Linked DNA regions of Diceros bicornis minor. The protein of the gene in region 1 interacts with the protein of each later gene in a pairwise test. Links are inferred from orthologs where the notes say so. Each region holds a gene or a part of one and is shown on either strand. Other genes may lie near its edges.

Region 1 (7,203 bases):
TAAGTTGTGTTTGGATTTAAATTTGCTAGCAACACCAATCCATTTTACTTCTTCAGCTCGGAAAACAGAAAAACCGATAAGGGCCTAAGGTTTTTCAGAAAACCAAATGAGTTGGTGATTTATGCAGTGACCGATTAGGGTAACACAAAACCTAATTCTACAAACTAAGTGAAAAATACAACGTTTCACATGCGTTGATGTTGAAGGTTTCATTCCAGGGAGATTAAAAAGTAAGTATGTACCTAATACTGAATGAGTATCTCAGAAGAATTTTGTGTTTAATAGCATAGGAAGAACTGTGATTGTCTTATGAAGCTTCTTGGTTAACAAGAGTACTAGCAGGATTTTGAATTTACATAAGAACCTCCCCACCGGTATGCTCAAGGTTCCTACCTCCAGCCCCCTTTTCCTGATAGTTGAGGGAATAAAGCCTAGAATTTATTTTTCTCAAAGCAATCTACTTGATACCACTGTTTCTTTTTTTTTGTATGTGAGGAAGATTAGCCCTGAGCTAACATCCCTTGCCAATCCTCCTCTTTTTGCTGAGGAAGACTGGCCCTGGGCCAACATTCGTGCCCCTCTTCCTCTACCTGATATGGGACACTGCCACAGCATGGCTTGATGAGCAGCGCATAGGTCCGTGCCCAGGATCCAAACCTGCCTACGCTGGGCCACGGAAGTGGAGTATGCAAACCTAACCACTATGCCACCGGGCCGGCCCCCCCATCGTTTCTTTTAATTGTAACCAAAGCTCAAAGTTTTTGGCTTCATAATTACTGTTCTCATGTCACACCCTCCTTCCCTGTCACTGACCATTGCCCTCAACCACTGGGAACAGAAACTCTTTTGAGCACAGGCATCTATTTTTTTCTTCCTTTCACTTCACTAGTCTCAACACAGGGCCTAGCAAACACAAGTAACTTAATAAATGCTTGTTGCTGGAAGTAAGGAAGAGAACTGGGCCTACTGTGCAAAGCACCTGTCTCAGCACAAGGAACAGAGACAAAACATGCAGCAGAGCGGCAGCTCAGTTGCTTTTCCAGAGTTCTTCTCCCCAGCCCAAGAGAGCAACTGTAAATCCCAAGACTCCCGATATAACAGGAGTAAAGGAGCTCCGCTACAGAAGCTTTTGTGGCACAGGTTGTGAGATCAGGGAGTCAGCATCATAGGGTTCCATCTACAAACTGTGGTCATTTTCCACAAGCAAAGTACATGCGATGGGGTTCTTGCGCACAAGTCAGCTTGGGGCCAAGCAGTAAAATTCTTAAAACACTCTAAAACACAATCTGTACTGGCTGCCCTCAGTCTAAGCCTGCTCCTAACAATCCTAACCAGACAGAGTTTTTATCATTTATCAGCCTCCAAATTACACTAAAACCAGCTTTGCCAAAAATTAACTCATTTATGCAGAACAAAGTACCCCCCCCAACCTTCCATTAAGACTTAAGATATTCAAAAACTACAATTTCTTCAACTTGCCAAGCATCAAGTATTGTCAGTTTGGTATAAATGTTTACTACATTCCACACACTATCTTCAGCCTACTGTAGACCCATAAAAATAGTCCTTTTTAACTAGAGACCAGAGAGCAAATTGTTGAGGTCAATGACTTCTACCCTGACAAAGCAGTGACCATTGGACAAGTCCTGTGTCTCATCTATGACCTACAAGTTATATTGCTTAAGAAATTATGAAATCTCATTTTCTCAGACCAAATGTGGCTAGACTTGTGGTCAAGGCCTCCGTCCTGCCCATTTCCCAAAGTGAATCAGCAGCATTGTTATCAACCCACAGATAAGGAAATTAAGGGGTAAAAAAAGGCTTTTCATTAATAATAGAGAAGAACAAGGGACCCGCCTTCTTTATTTGCTATCTTAATGTTAAAAAATAACCATAACCCATAAATTGTAAAAAATAGTAAAAGTCTGATTCAAAGCAATATGCAAAACTCAGGAAAGCGATGGTCTGTAACTAAATTAATATACTAATCTTTCTCCTTCATTTTTGGTGAGGAAGATTGTCCCTGAGCCAACATCTGTTGCCAATCTTACTCTTTTTGCTTGAGGAAGACTGTCCCTAACATCTGCACCAATCTTCCTCTACTTTTTGTATGTGGGTCACTGCCACAGCATGGCTTGACAAGCAGTGCAGAGGTCCACACCCAGGATCTGAACCCATGAACCCAGGGCCACCGAAGCTGATTATGCGTCCCAGCCACTACACCACTGGGCCAGACCCACTAAACCTTTCTTTTTATCCATAAATAATTATTTGGCTTCTCTGAAACTAAAAAAAAATTTTCATGTATTTAAGTCCATCAGCAGCCACATGTAGATGACTCCAGTTTACCTGAGAAGACACGGGAAAATGGCTATTACAAAGTATAACTGCTGAGTATAATGGACACAAGGTCATTACATCACTCTACTTTTGTGTGGGTTTTATAATCTCCATGTTAAAAAAGCATAATACAGGGGCCAGTCCCGTGGCTTAGCAGTTAAGTGCACGCGCTCCACTACTGGCGGCCCGGGTTCGGATCCCGGGCGTGCACCGACGCACCGCTTGTCCGGCCATGCTGAGGCCGCGTCCCCACATACAGCAACTAGCAGGATGTGCAACTACAACATACAACTATCTACTGGGGCTTTGCAGAGAATAAGGGAAAAAAACGAGGAAGACTGGCAACAGATGTTAGCTCAGGGCCGGTCTTCCTCAGCAAGAGGAGGAGGATTGGCGTGGATGTTAGCTCAGGGCTGATCTTCCTCTCTCACACACACACACAAAAGAAAACAAAGAAAAAAAAAAGCATAATATATTAAAAAAAAATTTTTTATGTAAACTTATGCCAAGTGAAAAAAATGGCATGTATCGACCTCTTCTGTTGCCTCATATCAAAGTCAGGGTCCAACCAGGGCACTTGCCTTCTCTAGCCTGTTCTCTGTATCCTCTTACCAGGTCCTCATGTGTACCCATTGACAGATACCAACGGGAAGAACCAGCTTACTCAAGTAGAATGGTGCTGAAAACAATCCAGGTAGATATTAGTAAGTTTTAAATAGAAACTTCGGAACATTTTTGAGATCTGACCTCAAGAGCTCAGAACTGAACATGAGATTATTGTTTCAAAGGAAAATTCCGTATGTTCCTTGATATAACATAAAGAGCCCAACAGATCCAACTTACGGTATATGAGTGAGTCTATACCTGCTTTTTTGTGTGTGTGAGGAAGATAGCCCTGACCTAACATCTGTTGCCAATCCTCCTCTTTTTGCTGAGGAAGACTGGCCCTGGGCTAACATCCATGCCCATCTTCCTCCACTGTATATAGGATGCCGCCACAGCATGGCTTGACAAGCAGTGCGTCTGTGCGCACCTGGGATCCAAACCTGTGAACCCTGGGCCGCCACAGCATAGCGCCGGCACTTAACTGCTACGGTACCAGGCCGCCCCAGTCTGTACCTGCTTTTTATGTGGTTTGTCCAACACCTTTACCCCCACCTCAAAAACTCAGACTCAGCAATAAAATTTATTACACCAAAATGCCTATGGACTTCCCAAGAGTGGACTCAAGGTACTTTCAGGAGGAAGCAAGACATAAAACAATCGGAATGGAGCTGAAATTAAATGTTCAAGTATCTTTTACACTGTTCCTTTCCACTGCCTTACGGGGGAGGGGACTACATTTCTCCAGCTGCAGTCTGAGAATAGCAAAGGAACAGGTATCACTATGCCCTTGTGAATATGATACCAAACATAACAGATTTTTTAGTGTAGTTCGTCTTGGAGGAGACTGACGTCGAATTTTGGCTTCCTGGAGGAGCAAGTTCCACGGGTTGACTCACCACTCTGTTAAACCTGATTTGTATTGGCTCTTAAAACCTTTAAAATTAAGCCTGGAGACTTAAATTAACATAAAGCGGAATGGTCCGAAATCTTCCAAGTCTGTGCTAAAGAGAAAATTTTAGACCCAATAGAGGCGAGTTCAGGCCTAGTAAATCCTCAAGGACTGGCACAGCTTGGAACCACTGCAAGTTTGCTGGAAGTGATTCCTCAGCTGATCGAAGAAAATCCCAGGGCTCCCGACGACCCCTCACCTGATTGAACTCCTCGTCGGCGTATATATCAATCAAGTCCACTCCTTCTGACATGGCTCCGGAAGGAAGATCGCGAGGCCGGAGAAGGGACAAAGTAAGAAAGATGCCACTGCGGTACCCAGAAAGAGGCAAGCGTTAGGAGGCATGAGGGTCCCGGCCGGGGAGGAGGGCAATGGTTGCCAGCCTCCCGTCTCCAGAGACGCAGCATCCTGGCAGCCCAAGCTCGGCCCCACCCGCTCCGCCCCGCCCCCGGCCTCGCGCCGCCCCTCGCTCTCCCAGGCCGCCGGGGCTCGCGGGGCTCGCTGCCCATCACCCTCGGGCCCGACCCGAGTTGCGCCGCAGCTGCCCCCGGCCCGACGAGCAAGTCCAGGCCGCAGCTCCTCGGGGCCCGCGAACGGCGCTGCGAAGAACCGCCGCGGCGAGGCCCGCAGCCCCAGCCCGCCGCACCTGCCTAGGCCCCAAGGCGGCCCCGGCTACAGTCCCCGCGGGTCCCGGAGCTCCAGCCGCCCCCGCTCCCCACCCGGGCCCAGCCCTCGCCCCCGGCTAGGCCCGCCCCGCTCCCTCCCCACACACCCGGCCCGGCGCCCTCGGCCCCCTCCCTCAAAGGCCCGCGCTCCCTCCGCCCGCCGACTCAGGCCGCCCCGAACTCAACCGACCCCCTCCCCGCCTCAGCGCCGGCCCCGAGCCCTCTTCCGGCCCAGCCGGCCCCCGGCCGCGCGCCCCCGTTACCGGGAATATGGCGGCGGCGGCGGCGAGTCCAGACTAGGCCCGAAGCGCGCGAACCGCTCTCGGCCCCAGGTGCCGCCCCCCCCCCCCCCGCCGCCGGCGTCACACGCACGGCCACTTCCGCCATACGCAGGGACACATCTTCCGGCTCAGGGCCTCTGCGCCGAAGTCGGCGGGGCGGGCGTCCCGGGGTTGCCGGAAGTGGCTGGGTAGCCGGTTTCCGGTGCGGGTCGGGAAGAATGTTGGTGGTCTCCGTGTTCCCCGTTCTGGCGCGGGTGAGGAGCTTGGAGTTTCTCCTGGGGTCCTGGGTGGGCCACAGTGGGGACTGAGTGTCGTCTTCCACCGCAGTCATGGAGAGGATCCTGATAGCCAAGGGCAAGGGCGCACTCAAGGAGAGGTCGAGCCTGCCATTTAGGAGGTTCAGGTCACTTCCACCCGTTTCTCAGCCCACTGTGTGCCTGTCTCGTGGAATCGAACAATCAGTCTTGCAACGAGACCCAATTTAGATTTCACCTATTGCCCAGGTCTCTCTGTTCTTAAGTCTCTCTGTTTTTGTCTTCTCTGATACCTATTATAATTTCACATCCTATCATAAGATCTTTCTTTTTTTTTAACATAGGCGTTTACCACTGTAAACTTTCTTAGTACTGCTTTTTGCTGCATCTCGTAATCTTTTGTATGTTGTGTTATCGTTTGTCTCAAGATATTTTCTAATTTCCCTTTTAATTTCTTCTTTGACCCACTTGAACTGTTGCTTGTTCAAGAATGAGTGTGTTGTTCGGTTGTTACAGATCTGTGAATTTTCCAGTTTTCCTTCTGCTGTTGATTTCTGGTTTCATTCCTTTGTGGTCAGAAAATAGAGTTTGTATAATTTCAATCTTTAATTTAAGACTTTTGTAATCTAATATGTGATCTCTCCTGGAGAATGTTTCCAGTGTGCTTGAGAAGAATGTGTATTCTGCTGCTGTTGGGTGGAATGTTCTGTATATGTCTGATTGGTCCATTTGATCTATAGTATTGTTCAAGTTCTCTGTTTCCTTATTGATCTTCTGTCTGGATGTTCTATCCATTATTGAAAGTGGAGTATTGAAATCGCCTACTGTTACTGTGTTGCTGTCTATTTCTCCCTTCAGTTTGTCCTGATTCTTTCTTCTGCTTGATCAAGTCTGCTGTTTGTTTCATATATTTTGGTGCTCTGATATCGGTTGCATATATATTTATAATTGTATCTTTCTGGTGAATTGGCACTTTTATCATTATAGAAATCTCTTGTGACAGTTTTTGACTTAGTTTATTTTGTCTGATATCTGTAGAGCCGTGTGTGTTCTCTTTTGGTTACAATTTGCCTGGAATATCTTTTTTCATCCTTTCACGTTCAGCCTGTGTGTATTCTTACATCTAAAGTGAGTCTCCTGTAACAGCATATAGTTGGATCTTGTGGGTTTTTTTAAGCCATTCAGCCACTCTGTCTTATGATTGGGGAGTTTAATACATTTAAATTTGAAATAATTACTGATAGGGAAGGACTTATTATTGCTATTTTGTTCATTGTTTTCTATCTTGTAGCTTTCGTGTCCCTCTTTTCCTCTCTTGCTGTCACCCTTTGTTTCATTGATTTTTTTTTGATTCCTTTCTAATTTTCTATTGTGTATCTTCTGTTTTCTTTGTGATTGTCATGGGCCTTACATAAAACATCTTATAATAATCTTTTTTAAGCTGATAACAATTTAACTTCAATCTCATTCAAAAACTCTGCTCTTTGGGCCGGCCCGGTGGCTTACCGGTTAAGTGCGCACACTCTGCTGCTGGCGGCCTGGGTTCAGATCCCGGGTACGCACCGACGCACAGCTTCTCCGGCCATGCTGAGGCTGCATCCCACATACAGCAACTAGAGGGATGTGCAGCTATGACATACAACTATCTACTGGGGCTTTGGGGGGAAAATAAATAAATGAATAAAATCTTTAAAAAAAAAAACTGCTCTTTTACTCCTCCCCACTTTATGTCATTGATGCCACAATTACATATTTTTATGTTGTGTATCCATTAGCATATTTTTGTAGTTATTTTTTATGTTTTTGTTTTTTAACTTCTATACCAGAAGTAAAAGTGATTTACGCATCACCATTACAGTATTACAATATTATGTATTTCTTTCATAGTTACTTTTACCAGTGAGCTTTGCTTTCATATGCTTTTGTGTTGCTGTCTAGTGTTCCTGTGGATCCTTTGGGCTTCTTAAATATCAATGTTTGTTTCTTTCCCCAGATGTGGGAAGTTTGGGGCTATTATTTCTTCAAATAAGCTTTCTGCTCCTTTCTCTCTCTTTTCTCCTTCTGGGACTCCCATAATGTGTATGTTGGTCTGTTCGATAATGTCCCAT
Region 2 (3,600 bases), on another chromosome or scaffold:
TCTGTGAGAAAGGGACAGTGGCTCCAGACTTCTTCCTGCTGGGGAAGAGCTCAGCCACCAGCACACAGAGTCGTCCTTGTCTGGAGGTTCACTTTTGCCTCAGCTTTTTGATGAAGGACACCTCATCCCGATTCCGGATACCATAACTGAAAGAGAAGAAAAGCTGTCAGCTGTCTGATCCACAGAGGGGACGTTTGTGACCCCTCCCCTGAAGCCTGTGAGGGACCAAGAAAGAAGAGGTGGGAAGCATGTGGCATCCAGGAAGGCAAGGAGGTGGTAGTGGCTGTCCTTCCACAGACCCACACTGTACCAGCGGGCAGCCTTTCAACTCCATGGACACCCTTATCTCCCTCCTGCTGGCTCTGCAGCCCTGAACCGCCACTGTGAGAAGCCGAGGCCCCTCACCCCTGCTCTCCCTCTCCTTCTGCTGGCAGGGAGGCCCCGGAAGCTCCCTGCAGGAGGGTGTCAGTCCAGCCAGGGACTCTCCTTGTCTCACACACTCCCCAGGGACTGATTTATGATCCCTCCTTCCTGAGGGGCCCAGGCTTCTGGCCGAGCATGTGGAACTACAGGCAACAGTCCAGATGCCTCCCTGCAGCTCAGGATGTGGCCTGAACTCACTCTCGGAGCTTCTTCCTGTCCTCTGTGAGCTTCTCTCCTGCAGAGATCAGATGGTACGTCCTCCACACGTAGGACCTGCAAGATGGGGACTCAGGTAAGCCGTGAGCAGGGTGAGCTGGACAGCTGGGAGGCCAAAGCTGTGTGTGAGAAAGCCTCCAGGCGCTCGGCTCTGTAGGGACCAGGGCAGCCACAAGGGGGCACTGCTCTCAAAACGCTGTGTGGGGTGCCTGGCAGCCAAACATTCTGCTAATGAAACGGGAGGACTGACAGCACCCAGGTGAGGAGGGGTGGGGCTGCTGACAGCTGCACCATCCACAGCTAGGGAGACCACTTCCAAACACACTGGAAACGCCCCAGGTGTCCCCAAGTGAAGACCCACCCAGCTGCCTGTGCAGTGTGATATGGATGAGGAGCATCTGAGGCAGGACTCCCAGGCCCAGGAGCACCCACCCGCCCAACGGCTCGGGGGGAGCCCATCGCTCCAGTTGGTACACTGTAGTAGAGCCAGGTGGTTAAGAGCGCACATCCGGCAGGTGTGCATGTGGAGGCCCACATCAGCCCCCAGGAGGGCTGCAGGGACCCGCTGCTCCACTCACCAGCTGATGTGCTGAATGCCTCCTTCACGCTCCTGCCTGAGCTGCACGTATCTCTGGATGGCCTTCTTCAGATCCAGCACCGTGGCGTTCTGTACGACAACCACGGCTGCAACCGGGGGACACAAACGGGAAAAGATCCACAGTGGGAACACAGCTACAGCCTCAGATGACAGGAGAGGACTCAGAGGCCCGACTAAGGCTGAAATCCGGGCAGGGTGGGCTTGCGGCTGCTCCAACACCCCCCGGGCATGGCCCTTGCGTTTCCCACTGAGCAGCCCTGCTAACCTCTTGCCCCTGTGAAGCTCAGACGGCGCTGCCCGGAGGGAGGGGGCGGCACTTACGCATGACTTCTCCGTCCATCTTGCACACTCGGACTGTCATTGCTTGGCCGTACTCCAGTGCTATCTGGGAACTGACCTCTTCCAGAGTAACCTGGAAAAGACCAAGGGTGGATGGGGGAGCCCTGGCTCTCTACCGCCCCGAACAACAACCAAGAAAAACAAGCTGACAGTGTCCAAAAAGTGGGGCCACGCTTTACAAATACAAGAAAGGGACAAGGTTCTTACACGTTTCCCCACTTGTCACTCCACTCTCATGTTCCATCCACACTTTCTGTTTAATGCCTAAAGTGGACAGAGGCTCGGGAGGACGCAGCATAGACACAGACCAGGGGAACGAACCAACGTGAGGATCCACCCCGGGATCCTCTACCCAGAGGCTGGACAGTCCAGTATGAGAGCCCTGGATCGCCAGGATCCAGGCCAGGGCCTCGGGACAAGGCTGAGGCAGGTGTGCAGAATTTACCGGGGCGCCAAAAACATGGTAACGATAAACATTTCAGTGCAACTTTCAAGGAAATAGAAGTTAACTTAAAAACCCCATGATGGGCAAAGTGACAAAGACTTAAACGCAGGACGGTGCCAAACCATATTGAAACTTGAGAAGAGAAACCAGTAATACTGGTCTGGTTTTCATTTACAATTTTATTACTTTGTTTACCATCGGCTTTCCTACACTACCTTTGAGTTTTAAAAATGTCGTAGTAAAACATCCCGTCACCTGACCCCATGTATACCGGGTTTTTGGCGCCCCTCTGAATTCTCGCTCGCCCCACCCTGGGCCCGGCCCGGGTTAAGACCCCCCGCTGACGCCCAGAGGCGCCTTCCTGAGGCCTCCGCGCCGCAGCCCCAGCGGCACGTCGGGGGGCTGTCCACGCCCCGCCGCCCGCCCCCCGGCCCGCGCGCACCTGGATCGGGAGGTCGCAGAGCAGCGGGTCCTGCACCACCATGGCAAGACCCTCCTGGAACACGTCCACCGCCTCGGAGTGCGGCAGCGCCTCCTCTTCGTCCTCATCTTCCTCCGGCCCCGCCGCCGCCACCTCCTCCTCCAGGGCGCCCCGCCGCCGCCGCACCCGCCCGCACCGCGGGTCAGCGCGACGGAGGGGCGCGCGCGGGGACCGCAACCACAGCCCAGCCCGCAGCGTCCAGGGACCAGGCGGCCTGCCGCAGTGCTCGCTGGGAGCGCGAAATCGGCGCGTCCATTGGCGGGCCGAGGGGCGGGGCGGCCGCCAGGACCAATGAGAGCTCGAGGCGGGCCTGCGTCGGCGGGGCGCGGCGCGGGCGTCTGCTGGGAGCCGGCGGCTGGGCAGCCGCCATGCTGCTCTTCTGCCCGGGTTGCGGGAACGGGCTGATCGTGGAGGAGGGGCAGCGCTGTCACCGCTTCGCCTGCAATACCTGCCCCTACGTGCACAACGTCACCCGCAAGGTGCGCCCGCCGGCGTCCCCTGCGTCCTCCCTGCTCGCCCCGGGGTACCGTCGGGACCTCCCCCGGGCTCCCCGCGCTGTGTCCGCGGCAACGGCCGCAGTGACCTTGTGACCGTGAGTCGGATCAGGGCCGTCCTGTGCTCCGAGACCCGCGGCGGGTGCCCAGCGCGCCGGGGGGAAAGCTGAGGTTCTCCCGGGACCCCCAGCCTGCTCCTCTGATTTCGCGTCCTAATGCGTCCTCTTGACCCCCAGCGCCGCACGGAGGATCCCCCTCGTGCACGGGCACCGCCGTCAGGGCCTTTGCGCGTGTTTTCTGCCCCGTTCACCCTTCCCCGTGTCTTTAGTTAAATGATTACTTAAAATTGCAATCTCTCTCCGTATTTTATCCTCCTTCCCTGTTTTGTTTTTGCCATAGGCGTCATTGCGTTGTAATATAGTTTATATTTATGGGCGTTGTTTATTAATACTGGGACATAAACGGTAGGAAGGCAGGATTTTTCTGTCTCGTTTCCTCATGTTTTAGTCTGAACAATAGAATGGGACCTAGAATGTTCAGGACGAATGAAGCACAGTGTATTATTTATGCTTGTTATTTTCACTTGACAGTACACCTTTTTAGA

What was found.
Region 2: the proteins of CPSF7 (region 1) and SNRNP25 interact in binary tests that used the Homo sapiens proteins (3 or more experiments, as listed by UniProt). The two-hybrid records come from large-scale screens. The link is inferred for Diceros bicornis minor from reciprocal best matches to the Homo sapiens genes CPSF7 and SNRNP25.

Annotation. Positions count from the first base shown.
Region 1 is NC_080770.1:11,869,151-11,876,353, reverse strand, and holds the start of CPSF7 (cleavage and polyadenylation specificity factor subunit 7), read right to left. Parts: upstream 4,239-7,203; intron 4,204-4,238; 5' UTR 4,149-4,203; coding exon 4,095-4,148; intron 1-4,094. Other genes in the region: proline-rich protein 2-like, read left to right, coding at 4,239-5,033.
Region 2 is NC_080765.1:48,217,350-48,220,949, forward strand, and holds the start of SNRNP25 (U11/U12 small nuclear ribonucleoprotein 25 kDa protein), read right to left. Parts: upstream 2,659-3,600; 5' UTR 2,506-2,658; coding exon 2,464-2,505; intron 1,650-2,463; coding exon 1,559-1,649; intron 1,324-1,558; coding exon 1,218-1,323; intron 697-1,217; coding exon 622-696; intron 147-621; coding exon 89-146; 3' UTR 1-88. Other genes in the region: POLR3K (DNA-directed RNA polymerase III subunit RPC10), read left to right, coding at 2,871-2,981.